2 linked regions of the Macaca mulatta genome follow. The protein of the gene in region 1 binds, or shares a complex with, the protein of each later gene. Links are inferred from orthologs where the notes say so. Each region holds a gene or a part of one and is shown on either strand. Other genes may lie near its edges.

Region 1 (10,274 bases):
CCTCTGGTCCCAGGTCTCACCCTGAGCCTTGTTCTTGATGCAGTTCCACTGCTGTGGCAGCAACAACTCACAGGACTGGCGGGACAGTGAGTGGATCCGCTCAGGGGAGGCCGGTGGCCGCGTCGTCCCCGACAGCTGCTGCAAGACGGTGGTGGCTGGTTGTGGGCAGCGGGACCATGCCTCCAACATCTACAAGGTGGAGGTGGGTGGGCAGCGGAACCATACCTCCAGTATCTATGAGGAAGTGTGGGGGGCCTCCAGTATCTATGAGAAGGTATGGGGGCCTCCAGTATCTATGAGAAGGTATGGGGGCACCCCAGTATCTATGAGGAGGTGGGTCACCCCAGTGGCCGGATGTGGGCAGTGAGACCACGCCTCCAACATCTACGGGAGGTGGGTGGGCAGCCCAGTGGCCAGATGTGGGCAGTGAGACCACGCCTCCGGTATCTTAGGAGGTGGTGGGTGGGCAGCCCAGTGGCTGGCTGAGCTGTCAGTGGCCTGGCTGCGTAGGTGCTAGGGGTGGGCATGGCCACACCCTGGAGGTGGTGGGGGCCAGTGGGAAGTGCCCCCTGGGCCCACCTTCAGCACCCATCTGCGCCCCGCAGGGCGGCTGCATCACCAAGTTGGAGACCTTCATCCAGGAGCACCTCAGGGTCATTGGGGCTGTGGGGACCGGCATTGCCTGTGTGCAGGTGAGGGCACGCGGGGTGACGGGTATTTTGTCGGGGACATGAGGCAGGGCGGTGGTTGCTGGCCCCACGGCGTCTACTTATGCCCGCCTGGCTCTGCACACAGGTCTTTGGCATGATCTTCACATGCTGCCTATACAGGAGCCTCAAGCTGGAGCACTACTGACCCTGCCCTGGGCTTGGCTGCGGCTCTCTGTGCCTTGCTGCTGCTGCACCCAACTACTGAGCTGAGACTACTAAGTGCCAGGGGTTGGGCTCCCTGATGACACCCACCCTGTGCCATCACCATAACCTCTGGGGACCCCAACCCCAGAGGCAGCTTCAAGTGCCTTTCGCTGCACACCAAAGCCCAGCAGGGAAGTAAGGGGGGCTGGCGGGACGACGGTATCGGGGGTGTTTTGTGGGGCTGCCTGAACACATTCTGCCTGGTGGTCAGATGCAGGCTGGAAGGGGCCTTGCTGAGTAGGGCAAGGCCGAGTGTTCCCAGCAGGGGGAGAAGCCCTTCACACCCCAGGCCCTTCAGGGATTGGGGCTTTGCCTTGCAGCCACATGGCCCCATCCCAGTCAGAGAAACTGAGTAAGGTCTGACCCTTGGGCCTGGGCCTCTGCCCCTCCCCACCCAGGCCTCGTCTCCCTCAGAGCCCCTGCTGTCTTCCCCACCGCGGTCACCACCACCCGAAATGCCACATGGTCACTGTGCACTGCCCCATCCATGTGCCTGTGTGGGGCAGGGGCCTCCCAGTTTTGTTCACTGCTGTACCCAGATGCCTACAATCATCCCTGCCACATACAGGTGCTCAATAAACACTTCTGGGGCAGATGGACGAGCCCGCTGTGCTGGTGAGATGGTCTGTTCTCAGGGCCCATCACGTCCAGCAGGGTAGACAGACCCCTCCTTGCAGTGTCAGGACAAAGAAGGGCAGAGCCAGGACACAGCCCCCATGGGGCTCCAGGGAAGGGAGGTCTGATGCCAGGGACAGCCAAGCACAGGTCTCACAGCAGAAAGAACTGATCATGTTTCTAAATGGTGAGATGGTGGTGTGTTCAGAGCCCCTGGGGGAGAGGAAAAATGGTTTCCAAAGACCCTTCTGGTCATGGGGGGGAGCAGACATGGGAAGGGTGCACACTGGGGGCTGTGCCCAGGTAAGAGGCGTCAGGCAGATGGGTGGGGGCAGTAGGGTGAGGGGGTTTACATGGTAGAGCCTATAGGCCCTGCTGGGGGCACGGATGGGAGATACCAGAGCCTGGTGTCTGGCAGAGGTACCCTGGAGACGGGAGCCAGGGTTCAGTCACTGATTGTACCCCCCACTGCCCAGGCTCCTGTCCCTAAGGCTCAGAACTGAAGACCCTCAGGCAGACCCATTCTCCCCCACCAGAGGGCACCACGCCAGGTATCTCAGCAGCAGGGCCATCTGACCTGGGGTGCTTGCTGGCAGCACTGCCTGGACAGCAGGGCCTCCTTAGGGCCGCCTCCCAAGCCAGCTAGGGGTGTCTTAAGGCCTGCCCTCCCTGCTAGACTCGGGTGGGACCCTCAGGGACAGCCAGCAGTGGGCAGGGGCCAGCAGGTGCTGGCATCCGTGACCATAGCAAAGACTGGGCCCCAGACGATCTGGTTCTTTTTTTTCTTTTTTTTTGAGATGGAGTCTCACTGTCACCCAGGCTGGAGTGAGTGGCGCAATCTCGGCTCACTGCAAGCTCCCCCTCCCGGGTTCAAGCAGTTCTCCTGCCTCAGCCTCCCGAGTAGCTGGGACTACAGGCGCCCGGCACCTCACCTGGCTGTTTTTTTTTTTTTTGTATGTTTAGTAGAGACGGGGTTTCACCGTGTTAGCCAGCATGGCCTCAATCTCCTGACCTCGTGATCCACCCGCCTTGGCCTCCCAAAGTGCTGGGATTATAGGGGTGAGCCACCGTGCCTGGCCTAAATCTGGCTCTTCAGATTCCAAGAGAGAGAGTACAGGAGCCTCTGCTCAGTCTGAAGAGCACCCAGAAGGAGGGAACCTCAGCCCTGAGATGGAAGGCTCTCCTGGCAGCACCTCCTGCAGGGGTACCTGTGGAACAGGCTGGCCCCAGGGCTAGGAGAATTCATGGCCCAGTCGGCTTCCCTGGGCTGCCGCGGTGTGAGAGCTGGGCCTAGTCCTGGCCCCTGACATCCTAGTGAGGGCTGGGACCTTGGTAGTTCTGAAAGACCTTTACTGGATTGTTCCTTCCAGAGTGGGGGATGGGACACACACACGCTGTGGCGAGGCATTGCGCCAGCTCCTGGATGCCTCAGCCTTGTGAACTTGGGGCAGGATGCTCATGGCCCATGGTCAGCATGGCAGGTAGGCGGATTCCAGCCTGGTCACTTCTCCAGGGGTGCATAATTGAGCAGCTTCTCGATCAGGTCCACGTGGGCCAGCAGCATCCGGCGGCAGCAGTAGCGCTTCAGGCCCAGGGCGTCCAGCGCATCCCTGTGTCAAGCGAGGGGAGGAACAGAGAGGCCAGCTGAGTTCTCCACGGTCTGCACAGGCCTGGAGCCCACATCCAGGCCGCCTCTCACTGCCTGCTGGCCTCACTCCCCTGCTACCGGCAAGGCGAACACATTCACCTGGATGAGAAGTAGAGACCTAGGGGTATGATCCTGGTTGGAGTAACCTGGCAATGCCCAGATCCCTGGGTGGAGCGTGAGGAGCCTTCTCTCCCACCTACTCTGGCTGTACATATGTGTGTCTAACATATGTAAGAAATATAAATGAAACGAAAACTAGAGGTAATTGGGGGAGCATAGAAAACCAAGGCCACCGAGGTCCTGATGCGCAGCTCCCCTCATCCCGCACCAGCCACAGCAGGGTAGCTCTCCAGGGGCCTGCCCTTAGCTGGTTCATCCCCCACCCCAGAGCAAGCCCTACTCTGCCACTGTGGCGTCTTTTCTCACCTCTGCTTCCTTCAATCAGGGAGAGACTGCTTCTCCAGGGAGCCACCTCTCCCATTTCCCAAGCCAATTAGAAGCTTTAATTTCCCTGGGACCAAGGTCCAGTCACCATCAATACTTCCAGAAAACTCCCACACTGATGGCTCCAATGTGCAGAGAGAGAAGCTTGGGAAAGGGGAGGCCACATGGGAGGCCCCTGCAGTTCATATCCCTGGGAAAGGGTCTGGACAGGCCACCAGCCACTCACTCTGGCAGCCCACTCGCTTTACTCATTCGTCCAGCAAGCTGCACTGAGAGCCTATGGCAGGCTGGCACACACGAGCCTGGGGTTTCACATGTGACCAGGACTCAGCAGGCAAGGGTCAGACTCCAGCAGGGGCACCAAGACTCAGGCACGGTGGTGACAGCAGCACCGAGGGACAAGCACAGGAGAAGGATGCCTCCCCCACAAAGCCCGATGATGAGGGTGGTCAGCAAGTCTGCCCTGCATTTCTTTTTCTGTGTGTGTGTGTGTGTGTGTGTGTGTGCGTGACACGGAGTTTCACTCTCTCATCCAGGCTGGAGTGCAGTGGCGTGATCTCGGCTCACTGAAATCTTCACCTGCCTCCCAGCCTCAAGCGATTCTCTCGCCTCAGCCTTCCAAGTAGCTGGGACCACAGGTGTGCACCACCAAGTCCGGGGAATTAAAAAGATAAGAGGGCCAGGGGCGGTGGCTCACACCTGTCATCTCAGCACTCCAGGAGGCCGAGGCAGGTGGATCACCTGAGGTCAGGAGTTCGAGACCAGCCTGGCCAACATGGCGAACTCCTATCTCTACTAAAAATACAAAAATGAGCCGGGCGTGGACACGCCTGTAGTCCCGGCGACTGGGGAGAATTCCTGGAGCCCAGGAAGCAGAGGTTGCACTGAGCCGAGATCGCGCCGCTGCACTCCAGCCTGGGCGACAGAGCGAGACTCCGTCCCCAAAAAAAAAAAAAAAAAGAAAAAATTTCTGGAGATCAGGGTCTCCCCAGGTTGTCCAGGCTGGTCTCGACCTCCTGGGCTCAAGCAAGCCTCTCGCCTCGGCTTCCCAAACTTCTGGGATTACAGGCGTGAGCCGCCGCGCCCGCCCGTCCTGCAGCGAGGTTTGCAGGACATGGGGTGGGTCTGGGAGCAGAGACGAGAGATTAGGACGGAGACCAAGGGCTTTACTGCGGGTGACAAGACGCCTGCCACCCGCCAGGCCACCTAGAATCCCCAGGACACCACTGGTTTGAAGCCCAACTCCGTTCTCTCCCCAGACTTCAGGGGACAATGTTCTCCCGAAAGCAGATCACAGAGCTGGGCCGGAGTGGCCGGGTATGAAGCTGCTCATGGAGCGCCGGCCCCAGGCAGCGCTGCGCCTCCCGCCCCGGCCCGCACCCCAGGGCGGACTCAGCCCCCAGCCCCGGCCCCAGCCCGCGCCTCACCCCTCAGTGTACTCGGCCTGCAGCAGCCCCAGGTAGGCCTCCCACTTGTTGCCGACGATCTTGCCGCAAGTGAAACACCGTACAGGAATGATCATGGCGGCGGCGCGTCCCAGACTGCCCGGCCCGGTCCGGCCGCACGGGAAGCACTCCCCCCAGGCCCCGCCCCGGGCGCGTCCACTATCGCGGGGGGACCGGCTCCGCTCGTTCTCCGCTGCCCCAGCCGTTCATACACTGGCCCCGGCGCAGCTGGCCGCAGTTTCCGCCGCCATGGGGATTCCCCATGCGGCCCGGGGCTCCTGGGCCTGCACGGCCGCGGCAGCAACAGACGACACACCCCCGCCCACCATCTTGGTGCGTCCCGGAGCTACGGCGTCTGAGCAGGGCCGAAAGCCGCGGTGGCGGTTCGCGTTTCTCGTGTCCGCTTGACTGACAGCTGCGCGGAGGGAGCGGACGAAGCGAGCGGGAGGCGGCGGCGCAGGTAGAGCGCCCGGGGGGTCGTGGGGGCGTGCGGCCAGGGTCTCGCGGCCCGAGGTGTCCGACCGGGAGCGGCTGGAGCCGGACGCGAGCGGGGCGCGCGAGTTCGAGCCTAGAGCCGACACGCAGCAACAAGTGGGGTCCGGCGCGGGGGCTTGGGGAGAGGGCGGGCGCGGACCGGGGCGGGTCTTCCTGCTGCCCCTCTTGGCCCCGCCGGGTAGTGGGTCCCTCCGCCTCCGCCTCTACTCGCGGGGTGTCCGGGGCTCTCGGCGCCGAGTTCGGGGGTCCCATTCTGGACGCGGCCCAGCCCCTAGGAGCGCCGTCCTGGCCTCGGCCGCGCAGTTACGGCCCCCGCCGGCTGCTCCCCGCCCCGGCCTCCTGTCCGCGTTCTTTCCGCTCCTTCCCAGGAAGGGGGTCGGGGTGCGCCCTCCCCGGTCCCGGCTCTGCTGGGCTGCTGGCCGTCCCGACGCTGAGACGCGCCTCTGAGCACGGGGAGAGGGGGCCCGGGAGGGAGGTCGGGGAGGGCGTCGTGGAAGAGGTGCTCTTTGAATTGAACCTTGAAGACCCCGGCACAGGGGACCCCTGGGCAGACTCCCGGAGGCTGCACTGGCAGGACCCGCTGAAGGCCGCAGCTCTGCCTTGCCCTGGAGCTCAGGGCCTACGGAGGACGAGGGAGGGGGAGCCCGTGTCTCTCGGATGGAGTGCGGGGGGGCTGGCACCAGCACCCTCCTTGCTGTGCCCCTAGGGTGGGGGTGAGGAAATGGGGGGTCGGTGTGCAGTAGGAGGCAAAGAAGACTCCTTGGAGGTGCCAGGTAGGCTGTGGGGGGGTGGGTGGGCTGCAAAGTGGCACCCATGGGGGGGCTCTGGGCTGGGGCTTCCAGCTGGGGTGGGACCTGTGCTGGGTTCCAGGCATCAGCTGCCGCTTTCTCAGGGCAATGCTGGGTCTGCCTTAGTTGCAGGGGAGGAGGATGAAGGGTTTTCTGGATCCAGAGTGGTGCTGGCCAGATCCACTGCACACTTGGGATTTCTGCTCCCAACCTGGCCAGGGCCCTGGGCAGCTTCCCCAGTGGCGTTTGTCATACCCCACCCAGCCACGTGCAGAGCCACGAGCGGAGGCCACTTCCCTTCCCTGACCCCCTCCCCCCAGGATGAGTGGACGCACATCCTGCTCTGGCAGAGGGGCAGGACAGGGGCCGTGAGTAACGGTGGCCTGGGGTCAGAGCCAGGCTCAGCTGCAGAGGCTGCTGGTGGCTGTGGAGGTGAGGGAGGAAGGGGGGTCCGGGATGTTAGCAGGGTGGGCCCTGGGGAGTGGGTGGGGGCCCGGAGGCTTCCTGGAGGAGGGTCCAGGGCCTGTCCTGCGCCTGTTCCTGCCTGCAGGAGTTGTTTACTCGGAGCACGGGGCGGGGAGAGTAAGCTGCCCTCCAAATCCTGGCTTGGGCCAAGCTGACATTCTTGGAATTCCAAGTGTGTAAGCTTCCTATCCCTCCATTTCCTAGCAGAGCCCCTGAGACCTGGAGACTGCCCCAGCCTCAGGCTCTGTGCCCCTCCCCCGAGTCCCCACCACATGTGTGTGGAGGCCGCTGGGGAGCCCAGGCCTGTCCTCAGCCCTGACGGGGCTATACCTGAGGACCCTGGGGAGCCTGGGCCTGCCTCAGCCCTGGCTGGTGCGTCCCCCTGAGAGCGTGTGGGGCGGAACAGCCTGGGGCCTGGGCCCGACCCTCCTCAGGCTAGCGGGGGTGGGAGGGAGCCTCCTGGGGGGGCAGGGCACTGTGCTGGCCAGCAGGGGCCGGTGGGGGCCCCTCTCTCCTGGGTGTGGAGTGTTGGTACAGACCCGGCCTGGCTTCTGGGGAGGGCCTGGGATGGGGCCAGGAGGCGAGGCACTGGTTTCATAGAAGGGGGCGTTGTGGAGCCTCCTGTGGTCAGCACAGGGCACAGGGAGCGGAGGGTGGGCTCCCCCAAGCGCTTCCTGCTAGAGGAGGGGTCACTTCAGGGCAAGTGACCAGGGGAAACCCATGATTGAAGTTTTAGCTGCTGAGCCCCTCCCACCCCGGGTGTTGCCCTGGAAACAGGCCAGCCACGGGACCGGGAGGGCTGGGAGGGGGGAGCACGGGCTGCGCCCTCGCTGGGATTCAGCTGAACTTGCACTCTGGTCTGGGATCACAGCCCGTGTTTCCCTATCTGTGAAGCTCAGGTGGGACCAGAAACTGCCCACCAGGAGGGCTGCATCCCTCCTGCCACTGAGACCAGGCATGGCCTTTGGCTGGGAGAGGGTGATCATGGTGTGTGTCCGCAGCCTCGCCCCCACACCTGTGCCCCTTGGCCCTGTCCATGGCTGGGACAGATGTGTGCTCACCCTGAGGATGTTGTGGGGTGGGATGGGTGCACACGGCGTCACGAGCACACGTGCCCGACACCTCAGCGGTGCACACAGCCAAGGCCACTGCTTGCCGTACCCACAACGTCCGCGTCCTCCCTGCAGTCCTGGGAGATCAGCATTTTGAGCAGTGGGGTCTGTAGATGGGGCCAAGGCTGAACTGGCCCCAGCCTAACCACTCACATGCCTGGGCTGGTGGCATTTGGGAATGTCACTGCCTGCCATGCAGCTGCCCAGGCCTGATGTGCCCCCCAGACTGTTCTGTAGGGGTCTAGGTTGCACGGGTCAGGGCCCGGGCTGTGGTGGGATGGCACCTGAGGTGCGGCTGCTCCTGGAGCCTGGGGGTTGTGGGAAGGTGCCCCCCACCCAGGGTCCTAAGTGTGTTGCTTTCACCCCCAACTCCCAGAAGAGAAATACCAACAGTGCAGGGGAGGGTTACGGGGAAGGCCTGGAGTGTGGGGTTGGCCTCGGTGGTCCTGGGAGGAAAGACTGGGGAACCTCTGGACGGTCTGTCCCTCCCCTGGGGCTGGTGGGGGGATCAGAGTGGTGTCTCCAGCCTCCAGGGCTCAGGTTTGGGTGGGAGAGGCCTAGTCCCACCCAGACTCTGTGTGCAGCCCCCAGTCCCTGCTCCTTGTATGCATGAGGGGGTGCTAGCTTGCTTGGGACCCCCCCGCCCAGGGTGAGGGCCTGGGACGGGCACTGGGGCCCCACAGGGGCTGAGGCAGCCAGGAAGCCCACAGCATAAGCTGTTTGTGTTGGCGGGCCTCCCTGCTTCCTCAAAGCTACCTCAGAGCCTGTGAGCCTGGGGAGTCAGGGTGTGTGGGCTTGGCTCTGCTGTCTGTCCTGAGCTGCCCCTGCTGGGCTGTGTGGCGACCCCAGGCTCTGGGCTGGGCCAGGACTGAGCTGCTGCCCTGCTGCTGGGGCTCAGAGAGGCCGCTCCACTGGCCTGGCACCCAGGCTACTGCAGACAGGCTGCTCTGTCGCATGGGCAGGCCTCTCTTGGGGGGGGACCTCCCTCTGGCTTCGTGGGTGTCCGAGGTCTCCTTGCAGCTCAGTCCCCTGGGGTTTTCCAACCTGCAGAGCTCTGGGTGTCTGTCTCGGGGCCCTCGCTCAGCCAGGGTTGGGTTGGAGCCTCTATGGTTCCTCCTGCCCTTGGGCTACTGGAAGGACAGTTACCTCACTCCAGAGAGCCGGGTCTGAGGGGCGAGATGTTGCGGGGTGGAGCCAGCAGGGCAGGGAGTGCTGGGCACTGCGTTTGGCTGCCCAGGTGAGTTTGGGGCTTCTCCCTGGCCAGAAATCCATGAGTGGCAGGAGGAGGACAGACTCCCCAACCCATGGTGGAGGAGGGCCTTGAGGGTCCTTGCTGACAGCTCCATGGGGAGGGCGCGAGGCCCCCTTCCTGAGCTGGGGTGTCTGCTCAGAGCCCAAGGCAGGGTGGGGTGGGAGTGCTCCTGCCTGGCAGGAAGCAGACAGCAGGCTGGACCAGGGGTCTGGGACCCCAGCGGGGAGGCACTGCTGCGTGTCTGTGTGGGTGCAAGCGTGTGCCTTGGCCTGTGTCTCTGCATGTCCCTGTGCTGTGAGTATATGTCTTTGAACATGTGTTCTCTGCACACCGTGTCTCTGTGAGTGAGCCTGTGTCCCTGCCTGGCTGTCTCAGAGGCCTGAACGGGCAGAATTTGGTGACTCAGTCATTGATTCAAAGCTCTCCTGGTTGGGGCTACTCCTCAGTGGTCTTCTCCCCCGAGTCTGGTGGTGTATCCCCCTGCCCACCCCCGACTGCCCCTCTGCCCTGTAGGGACCTGGCCCCAGGTGGGTGTTCCCTGCCCTTGTCTAGGAGCATCTCTGGCTGTGCTGAGGATGGAAGCCAGGGCTCCACTCTGCCCGTCTTTCCTTCCGCAGAGCTTGGGGCTGCCTTGGTCGCACCCACCGCCTGCCTGCCCACTGGTCAGCCTTCAGGGGCCCTGAGCAGCGCCTGGCCTCTTTCCTGTGGCCAGCCCAGGTATGTCACAGCCCGGCGGGGCTGGATGGTTGTGGTGGGCAGCAGTGGGCTTGCCTCTGGGTCTCACTTTGCCGGCCCAGGGGCCTTGCCAGCCGGACACTTTGACAACACACCTGAGCGTCTAATCGGAGCTCCCGTGGGGAGGGGCTGGACTTTGGAGACAGGGTCCCAGAACACCCTGGCTGGAGTGTTGAGGAAGGACCCTCCCCAGCTGAGCTCTGACACTGTGGCCTTGCCCGGGCCCCTGCCTGTGTCTGAGCAACCCAGTGTGAATCCTGAACTTGGCAACAGGAGCAAGCCCAGCCCCTGCTCCTACTGGCCCTCGGTGGCCTTGTTTGAGGTTTTTTTTTTGTTTTATTTTTTTTGTTTTTTTTTTGAG
Region 2 (9,635 bases), on another chromosome or scaffold:
ATGAGTGCAAATGGGTGAAATTTGAATAAGCTCTGTGGACTGTCCCAATGTCAATTTCTTAGTGGTGAATCTACAATCAAAAAGCTAAAAAATGGTTTTTTTTGGAAATGTTTTTAGTGCTGCTATAAATGGAAATGGAGAGATGGACAATAGACCTCAGCTGTGGGATCGTTCAGTAGACAGAACCTGGAATAGTGTGCGAAAGTGTATGGCTGCGATTCTATTAACAGCAGGGAGAAATGTCAGTCAATAGAATCCAGTTTTTCCTTATTCTTCTCAACCAGTTTCCTGAAGCAAAGCCTATCTTTTCTATTAAATAGTTTTTTTCTTTTGCCTTTTTTTTTTTTTTTTTTTTTTTTGAGACGGGGTCTTATTCTGTTGTCCAGGCTGGAGTGTGGTGGCACAATTTTGGCTCACTGAAGCCTGGACCTTCCAGGCTCAGATTCTCCCACCTCATCCTCCTGTGTAGCTGGAACTACAGGCGTGTACCACTACACCAGGCTAATTTTTTATGTACAAATGGGGTTTCCCCCATGTTACCCAGGCTGGACTTGAATTCCTGGGCTCAGCCAGGAATTCAACCTGCTGAGCCAGTGTTGGGATTATGGGTGTAAGCCACTGTACCCAGTCTTTTTTATTTATAGTGACTGGGTCCTGCTCTGTCACCCAGGCTGGAATGCAGTGGCACAGTCTTGGCAGCCTCAACCTTTTGGGTTCAAGCAATCCTCCCACCTCAGCCTCCCAAGTAGCTGGGACTACAGGGGTGTGCCACCATGCTTGGCTAATTTTTTTGTCATTAGTCTCAGCCCAGGCTGGTCTAGAACTCCTAGGCACAAGTGATCGCTCTCACCTAGGCCTCCTAAAATGTTGGGATTACTGGTGTGAGCCACCATGCCCGTCCTGCTAAGCCTATCTTGAAATGATAGATTTTTCTGAGTCTTTTCCTATCTGCCTTATTTTATAATTAGTGACAGACCATCTAAACCAAACTCAGGAAAGAATTACCTTAGGAAAGCTTTCATCATCAAAAAACATCCTATAATTGCACAAGTACATACAAGATGATCTATTATCAACAGTTTATAATGGCCAAAGATAAATAGGCAGAGTATTTGCCGAAAAAAGTTATAATGGCCAAAGAATGGAACAACTCAAATACACAGGGGATGGTATATCCGTACAATAAAATACTGTGCACAGGAAAGAAAACATAAGCGGCACTCTACACACTGCTTGAAAGCAGGTCAATATAAATGCAGAAAAAAGCCAAGTATGGAAGTGTAGACTAAATATAAAATACTCACTGGAGGCCAGGCGCAGTGGCTCACACCTGTAATCCCAGCACTTTGGGAGGCAAAGGTGGGTGGATCACTTGAGGTCAAGGTCTTTAAGACAAGGTCTTCCTACAGTACCCAGGCTGGCCTTGAACTCCTGCACTTAAATGATCCTCCCACCTTAGCCTCTCAAATAGCAGGGACTACAGATGCATAGCACCATGCCTGGCTTCCAAAATGGATGAATCTTATTTCACTATCCTAAGTGAAATAAGCCAGTCGGAGGACAAATATTGCATGATACCACTATATGAGATATCTATAATAGTCAAACTTGTAGAAACAGGGTAGAAGGGTGGTTGCTAGGGGCTAGGGAAATGGAGAGTTGTTCAACAGGTATAAAGCTTCAGTTATGCAAGACAAGCAAGGTCTAAAGATCTGTTGTACAACATGGTGCCTATAATTAACAATAGTGTATTGTACACTTAAAGATTTGTTAAGAGGGTAGGTCTTGAGTTACGTGTTCTTACCACAGAAAACAAAACAAAAACTCAACAGCAACCAAAAAGCAAAAAACAAAGGGGCAGGAGGAAACTTGTGGAGATGACAGATATGTTTATTACCCTGATTGTGGTGATGGTATCAAAGGTGTGTACATATAGTCTAACCCATCAAACTGTATTCATTACATATGTAACAACTGTACTTCTATAAAGCTGGCAAAAAACACTGTAACTGTTTGTTTTTACTTCAATGTTGCTATAAGAAAATATAAAATTACGTTACAGCTTGCATTCTATTTGTATAGTACTGTCCTGCTCAAGATGGATTAACAGGTGTGTGACAGTCACTGCCTGCTGAAAGCAGGGTGTAGGGAACCTGTATGTTCTTCCATTTATCAATATTTCATATTTTGAGAAGACATGAGATTTTTGAACAAATATACAGAAAATCATTGTCAACAGTTAATCTACCAGCGAGATTCACACTTTGCATTCTTGGTTTTCAGATCTTGGTTGAGAGTTCTAACACCCTTGAAAAATCTCAAGAGTAACCTGGTAATAATATCTTCATTGAACTAAAATTACGTTTTGTTTTAATCTGATAGGCCTCCTAATCCAAAAGGTCAACATCAAGTTAAACAACATCCAGTTTCACTTTGATGTTCATAGCTGCCAATTCAGCTACAAAATACCGAAAAACATAAGGCACAGAAACAGTATCGATAGTGTCACTGCGATTACACAGAGTACAGTTGTATTTTCTGTTGCGCATGGCAGACCAAGAAGGGGGTGGCTTCTCCAACAGTGGAGAGAGTAAACTGCCACACTTCACACACACGTGGGCTACTGACCGATCCGAGCAGTTGAAGAGGCGGTCATGAAGGAGAAAAGATGTACCGTGAGCTAAAAGCGCATCCCGTTCCATCTCCCCAAAACGGATTCCACCCTGGACATTTCTTCCCCCAATAGGCTGGTTGGTGACTCTGTCTCGGGCCCCAGTTGTCCTTACTTGAAATTTGTCTGAGACCATGTGGCGTAAGCGCTGATAATAAACCACTCCTATGAAGATGTCTGCTTCCAGTTCTAGCCCACTGATGCCACTATATAACCTCTCGGTGCCATAGAAATTGTAGCCAGCAGCCTTTAACATCTCACCAAAGTATTCTAAGGCCGAGTTCTCCTCTGAGAAGATGAAGGGTGTAGCATCATGGCAGAGACCATGCAAAGCTGCAGACTTCCCAGCCATACTCTCAATTAACATCCCGATGGTCATGCGGGATGGAAAACCATGGGGATTGAACAGAATGTCTGGGACCATCCCACTCTCAGTAAAAGGCATGTCCTCAGCTGGCCACAATCTGCTCAAAATGCCCTTCTGCCCATGACGACTGGCAAATTTATCTCCGATAGTTGGGTTCCGAGGCACTCTCATAGTGATGCAAACACACTTGAATTTTCCACTCCCAGTGTCATTACTGCACACTTTGATGTTATCCACAACACAATTTTCTTTACTCCTAGGAAAAAGTAAACTCTGTAAGGTCAACCTATTTGTTTAAACTTATAGAGGTAAGTTTCATTGACATAATTAGTGCTTCATAAAAGATACTTGTAAAACACATTTTTTTTTTTTTTTTATGAGACAGGGTCTCACTCTGTTGCCCAGGCTGGAGAGGGGTGGTGTGATTACAGCTCACTGCAGCCTTGACTTTCCAGGTTCAAGGAATCCTCCCACCTTAGCCGCCTCAGTAGCTGGGACTACAGGTACATGCCACTAGGCTTGGCTAATTTTTAAATTTTTTGTAGAGACAGGGTCCCACTACATTGCCCAGATTGATCTTGAACTTCTGGGCTTAAGGGAGCCTCCCATTTTGGTCTCCCAAATTGTCGGGTTGCAGGTGTGAACTACTGTGCCTGGCCTGCAAAACTCATTCTTACCTTTATTCTCCAATACAAACAGAGATGGTATGAATAGAGCTATTGGTGATATTCACTACAGAATTATGTTCATCTGAAAGAAAACTAGCAACAAAGGCAACTGAAAAGTTATTATGAAGGTCTACTGAAATAAATTATATTGTAAAATAAGCTAAAATAAGACATTTCTAATAAGAGGTATGAGCTCAACATTTTGGCTAGGAAACATTGCTAACATTGTATATGATAAAGACGACAAAGTTTGTATAATACAGTTTTTAAAAAAAGCACAAATAGACCAGGCACAGTGGCTCACACCTGTAATCCTAGCACTTTGGGAGGCTGAAGCAGGTGGATCACTTGAGCCCAGGAGTTCGAGACCCTCCTGGGCAACATGGTGAAACCATCTCTACTAAAAATACAAAAAATTAGCTGGGCATGGTGGTACGTGCCTGTAGTCCCAGCTACTTGAAGGCTGAGGTGAGAGGATTGCTTGAGCCGGGAGGTGGAGGTTGTAGGGAGTGAGATCACTCCACTGCACTCCAGCCTGGCTAACACACTGAGACCCTATCTCAAAAAACAAACAAAAACCAGCTTGGATACCCAAACTTACTTATAGTACATCACAAAACTTTCCCCAGTGTTGAGGTTTAGGTAGCTGTAATATGGATCTCCATACTGCAGTTTTGCTCCTATAAACGGCAATCCATCGTCATCTAACTTCTGCAAAATCCGTGGGTCACCAGGTTTGATTCCAAACACCAGGCTACTATCTCCTTGTTTAATTTTTTCAGAGAGGTCTATGAACTCAGACTTGTAGACACTTCCATGGGCAAAGCCTCGTTCCCAAGAGGCCTTATTCACAATCTGTGAAGTAAAAGAATCGTTAATTTAAAAGACTGAGGCCAAGTGAGGATTTTCAAAATAAAACTAGGTGGGACTATAATACTTGGTTTAGGATAACTGGCATCACATTTTAACTCTCCTCACATTTTCCAAATCACTGATACTAACTACAAAAATCCAGACATGGCCAGGCACAGTGGCTCATGCCTGTAATTCCAGCACTTTGGAAGGCCAAGGCAGGCTGATCACTTGAGGTCAGGAGTTAGAGACCAGCCTAGCCAACATGGTGAAACTCCATCTCTACTAAAAATAAAAAATCAGCCAGGCGTGGTGGCGGGTGCCTATAGTCCCAGCTACTCGAGAGGCTGAGGCAGGAGAATTGCTTGAACCCAGAAGGCAGAGGTTGTAGTGAGCCAAGATCATGCCACTGCACTCCAGCCTGGACAATAGAGCAAGACTCTGGCTCAAAAAAAACACAAAAAACAAAAAACACCAAGAAAAACAAAAACCCAGGCACACAGAAATAGCTTAAAATCTAATCATACTTAAATATAAAAGGTAGATATATCCAAAACCAAACTCTTCAAAATTTACTCATAATATGCACTCAAATATGCAAGATATATGTGTATCTGAATATTTAGTGGATACTCCTCAAGGCTTGCCCACTTTCAACTTAGACCAAGAACTAATCATTTCATAGAACATCATGTGCCAAATACCAGGTACTTGGGTACACAAAAATATTCCTTCAGTGATTTCACAGTAAACAAAAGAGTTAAAAGATAAAAAGATTGGAACAACATTTCCCAGTAAAACTTACCATGGCATCTTCCATATCATAGCCAGTGTAAGAAATCACGGCAACGATGGCATTGGTCCCAATTGGATAGTTATCCATGTCATAATAATCATACATGGAGGGTCTCACCAAGGGACTCTGAGGAGTCTGAAGACGATACAGTTTGTTATCTGATCGGTCTTGATAAGTGAGAAGTGGAAAGCCCATAGTTTGCTTACCTACACAGAGAAAAACATCTTAGCATTTTCTGCTTCTTTCATCTTGATTATAGGTGTGATACACAACACTGGAAACAACTAAATATTCATCAGAGGAGAATGAATAAATAATCATAGTAGTTATGCTTACTTTAGACTAATACATAAGCTGTGAAAATGAAGTAAACCTAAATGTATCAATGTGACCAGACCAGGAAAACCGTGCTGAGCGGGAGAAAGTGCAGACTGACATTTAATGTAAGATTTATGTGCATTTGCAACACGCCCCACACAATTCTATACCTAGTTTATGGATACATGTATGATGTAATAAAAGCTTTACAAGGGGACAGAAAGGAAGCACACGAATTACAGGATACCACTACTGGGGGGAGAAAAGGGGACAGTAATTATTATGAATTAGATTACTTTCTTACAGCGGAAGATGTATTTAATTCTAGGTAGTAGAGTATGGGGTGAGATTCCTCTGTGTACTACCTCACAGTATAATCATTTCCGAACAAAATGATTTTAAAATATAAATACATACAAGTGAAAATTTTTTTAAAAAATTATAAACTTAGAGCTTCCAGTAATAAAGGGCTACTCTTACAAGACCACCCTCAACACATACGTATAAGATGCAGAAAAAAGGCCCCAACTACACATATAGCACTGGAGAGTAACCAAAAGCTGTCAGAAGCTGAGGAAGAATTTTTACTTGGATGAAAGGAACCACACTGGGTGAATAAGTATTTATGTATATATTTTTGCCTTATGGCCCAGTGTGGCAGCCACAACTTAGATAGAAACCCACAGTCTTACTGGCTTGAAGAACCAAGAAATAGAGTTCTGAGCATGACAACAATTGGGAAAGGGGAATGTTTCAGAAATGAGAGAACAAAGGGAGACCCTTAAAATCAGCATGTAAAATTGGGTCCCAATCTTTGGTGGACTCCTGAACTATGCATGCATGGGACAGATCAAAGCAGCCCACCTAAGGCTGAAGAATGTACTTCAACTGCCATGTTCACCAAGTTAAGTACCAGTGAAAACTAAAAACCAATCCTCTTCCCCTGGAGAATTTTTGGTGACATGCACTGAGCCAGGTGATGGACTGTGTATTAACAAGGAAAGACGTAAAATGAAAAACATTAAAATGTAATTGAAGGCCAAACACCACACTAAAAACAAACAAAACCAATCCTCTTCAGAGGACCCTAACAGGATCCAGGGTTTAAAACATATTCCTCACAACGTTCATAATACAATCCAGTATTACTGGGCATACAAATGAATGGTGAAACTTGACTTATACTCAAGGAGACTGATCCTGAGATGACCCAGACATTGGAATCTGCAGATAATGACTTTACAACACCCATCATATAAAACTATGCTAAAAATATAAAGGAAAACATGCCCACAATGAAGATAAGAAATCTTAGAGAAAAGAGAAACTATAAAAAAAGAAACAAGTCAGGCCAGGCGCAGTGGCTCACACCTGTAATCCCAGCACTTTTGGGAGGCTGAGGCGGGCAGATCACTTGAGGTCAGGAGTTTGAGACCAGCCTGAACAACATGATAAAACCCTGTCTCTACTAAAAATACAAAAAATTAGCTGGGCATGGTGGCACATGCCTGTAATCTCAGCTACTCAGAAGGTGAAGGCAGAAGAATCGCTTGAACTGGGGAGGCAGAGGTTGCAGTGAGCCAAGATCATGCCACTGCACTCCAGGTGGGTGACACAGCGATACCCTGTCTCAAAAAAAGAAAAAAAAAAAAAAGAAACAAGTGGAAGTGCTGGACTTGAAAATACAGTCATACACTGCATAACAATGTTTTAGTCAATGTAGGATGGCATATATACTATGGTGATCCCACATTTTTACTGTATCTTTTCTATATTTAGCTACACAAATCCTTGCCATTGTCTTACAGCTGTCGACAGCACACAGTACAGTTATATGCCACCCAGGTTTGTAGCCTAGGAACAACAGGCTATACCATATATTAGGTGTGTAGTAGTCTCTGCCATCTAGGTTTATGTAAGTTCACTGTATGATGTTCACACTACGACAAAATCACATACGACTCCCTTCTCCAAATGTATCCCTGTCGTTAAGGGTATATGACTGTAGGCGAAAATTCAGTAGAAGACAGAATGAAAAGTGACTGTGATAATAGGTCAATAAAAATAATTCAATCTGGGCCAGGCACAGTGGCTCACACCTGTAACCCCAGCGTTTTTGGGAGGCTGAGGCAGGCAGATCACTTGAGGTCAGGAGTTCAAAACCAGCCAGGCCAACATGGTGAAACCCCATCTCTACTAAAACACAAAAATTAGCTGGGCATGGTGATGTGTGCCTGCAATCCCAGCTACTCGGGAGGCTGAGGCAGGAGAATTTATTGAACATGGGAGGCAGAGGTTGCAATGAGCCGAGATCGCACCACTGCACTCCAGCCTAGGTAACAAAGTGAGACTCCATCTTAGGGAAAAAAAAAAAAAAAAAAAGAAATTAAAAGATCCAATCTGAAGAAAATAAAGAAAAAAAGAGAACAGAAACTCAATGTCTTATGGAACAATATCAAAAGGTTTAAATATATGAGTAACTGATATCTCAGAAGGGGAGGAAAGAGAGAAAAGGGTAGGAGCAATGTTTTTAAAAATAATGACAGAAGAGTTTAGCAATTTAATTTAAAAACAAAAAAACAAAAAAACAAATTTGGGGCCGGGCGCGGTGGCTCACGCCTGTAATCCAGCACTTTGGGAGGCCAAAGTGGGCAGATCACCTGAGGTCAGGAGTTCAAGACCAGCCTGGCCAACATGGTGAAATCCCGTCTCTACTAAAAATACAAAAATTAGCTGGGTATGGTGGTGAGTGCCTGTAGTCCCAGCTACTTGGGAGGCTGAGGCAGAAGAATCACTTAAACCCAGGAGGCAGAGGTTGCAGGGAGCCGAGATCATACCACTGCACTCCAGCCTAGGCGATGGAGCAACACTCTGTCTCAAAAAAAAAAAAAAAAAAAAAGAAACACTATATTCAGAAGACTGCTGCTTTCTAACTAGAAATGACAGAGACAAAGAAAAGCCAGTGTAACAACAACTTTTAAGTGCTGGAAGAAAAAGAACTGTCAACTCAGAACTGTATACCCAGTGAAAGATTCCTTCAAGTGAAGTAAAATAAAGACATTTTCAGATAAATGAAAACCAACAGAATTTGTGGCCAGCAACCTGCAATATAAAAAAATGCTAAAGGAAGATTATCAGGCTGAAGGAAAACTGTAAGCAATGAAAACCTGAATCTTGCAACAGGAATGAAGAGAACTGGAAGTGATAAATACGTGGGTGACTATGATTGCTTGTATTCTTCAAAAAATCAAGTAATAAGACCCCAGGCACACCCAAATCTATGGACATTCTATACCTTTTTCTTCAAAAATGTCAATGTCAAAGACACAGAATGGTTAAAGATCTGTCATAAATTACAGGAGACTAAATAGACATGCCAACTAAATACAATGAGTGATCCTGGACTGGTTGCTTGTGGCACAGAAAAAAAAAAAACTTGCCATAAGCCATATTTTTGGAACAAATGGTCAGCATATGTAAATGAGGACTACAAAAGACTATGCTAGTATCAAGTTTACTTTCCTGATTGTGACTATAACATCGTCCCTCTTCCTTACCCATCTGGCACTGGTACATGTTCCGTGGACTCTGGTTGTGGTCAGAGAAAGGGATGAAGTTGGCAATCACACTCAGCAGGCTGTGTGGAAAGAGTTCCTGGTGTGTGGTAACTCCAGCAAAAACCTCATCCTCAAAGATAGCGACATTCATGAAGATCTGGAAGAGCAGATGTCCAAGGCACAAAATAACTGCAACTGCTTACACATTAACTCTTACCATTTCTCAGAGTTCAGCACTCAAAGACTCAAGAGAAAACCTTCCCCGCCCAGCATCATGAGTGCTGAAGGGATCAACTGGGAAGCACAGGGAAGTGACCACTTAGAAATACCACTTGCTTTACATATTCCACTCTAAATCTACCCCAGACCAATTGTGAAGGGGAATAGGAAGAAAAAATTTTAAGTA

Evidence for each region. The genes of interacting proteins can lie anywhere in the genome.
Region 2: the proteins of POLR2L (region 1) and POLR1B are in contact, whole or in part, in a cryo-EM structure (PDB 7OBA), measured with the Homo sapiens proteins. The link is inferred for Macaca mulatta from reciprocal best matches to the Homo sapiens genes POLR2L and POLR1B. Residues at the interface, in NP_066951.1 of Homo sapiens: Met1, Ile2, Pro4, Arg6, Cys7, Phe8, Thr9, Cys10, Gly11, Trp18, Tyr21, Leu22, Leu25, Gln26, Glu31, Gly32, Arg42, Tyr43, Cys44, Arg46, Arg47, Met48, Leu50, Ala51, His52, Val53, Asp54, Leu55, Glu57, Lys58; in NP_061887.2 of Homo sapiens: Leu16, Leu19, Thr20, Asp21, Pro22, Tyr24, Gly25, Pro27, Ile157, His160, Glu161, Glu162, Ala163, Phe698, Leu701, Thr702, Arg713, Gln715, Thr716, Pro717, Gln718, Ser719, Leu721, Asp733, Asn734, Pro736, Asn740, Ala741, Ile742, Asn760.

What each region holds. Positions count from the first base shown.
Region 1 is NC_133419.1:731,813-742,086, forward strand, and holds POLR2L (DNA-directed RNA polymerases I, II, and III subunit RPABC5), read right to left. Parts: upstream 5,171-10,274; 5' UTR 5,144-5,170; coding exon 5,049-5,143; intron 3,140-5,048; coding exon 3,031-3,139; 3' UTR 2,758-3,030; downstream 1-2,757. Other genes in the region: CD151 antigen, read left to right, coding at 44-202, 606-692, 796-855. UniProt on the Homo sapiens protein: DNA-dependent RNA polymerase catalyzes the transcription of DNA into RNA using the four ribonucleoside triphosphates as substrates.
Region 2 is NC_133418.1:22,650,457-22,660,091, reverse strand, and holds the end of POLR1B (DNA-directed RNA polymerase I subunit RPA2), read right to left. Parts: intron 9,387-9,635; coding exon 9,230-9,386; intron 5,561-9,229; coding exon 5,364-5,560; intron 4,562-5,363; coding exon 4,308-4,561; intron 3,295-4,307; coding exon 2,412-3,294; 3' UTR 1,864-2,411; downstream 1-1,863. UniProt on the Homo sapiens protein: Catalytic core component of RNA polymerase I (Pol I), a DNA-dependent RNA polymerase which synthesizes ribosomal RNA precursors using the four ribonucleoside triphosphates as substrates.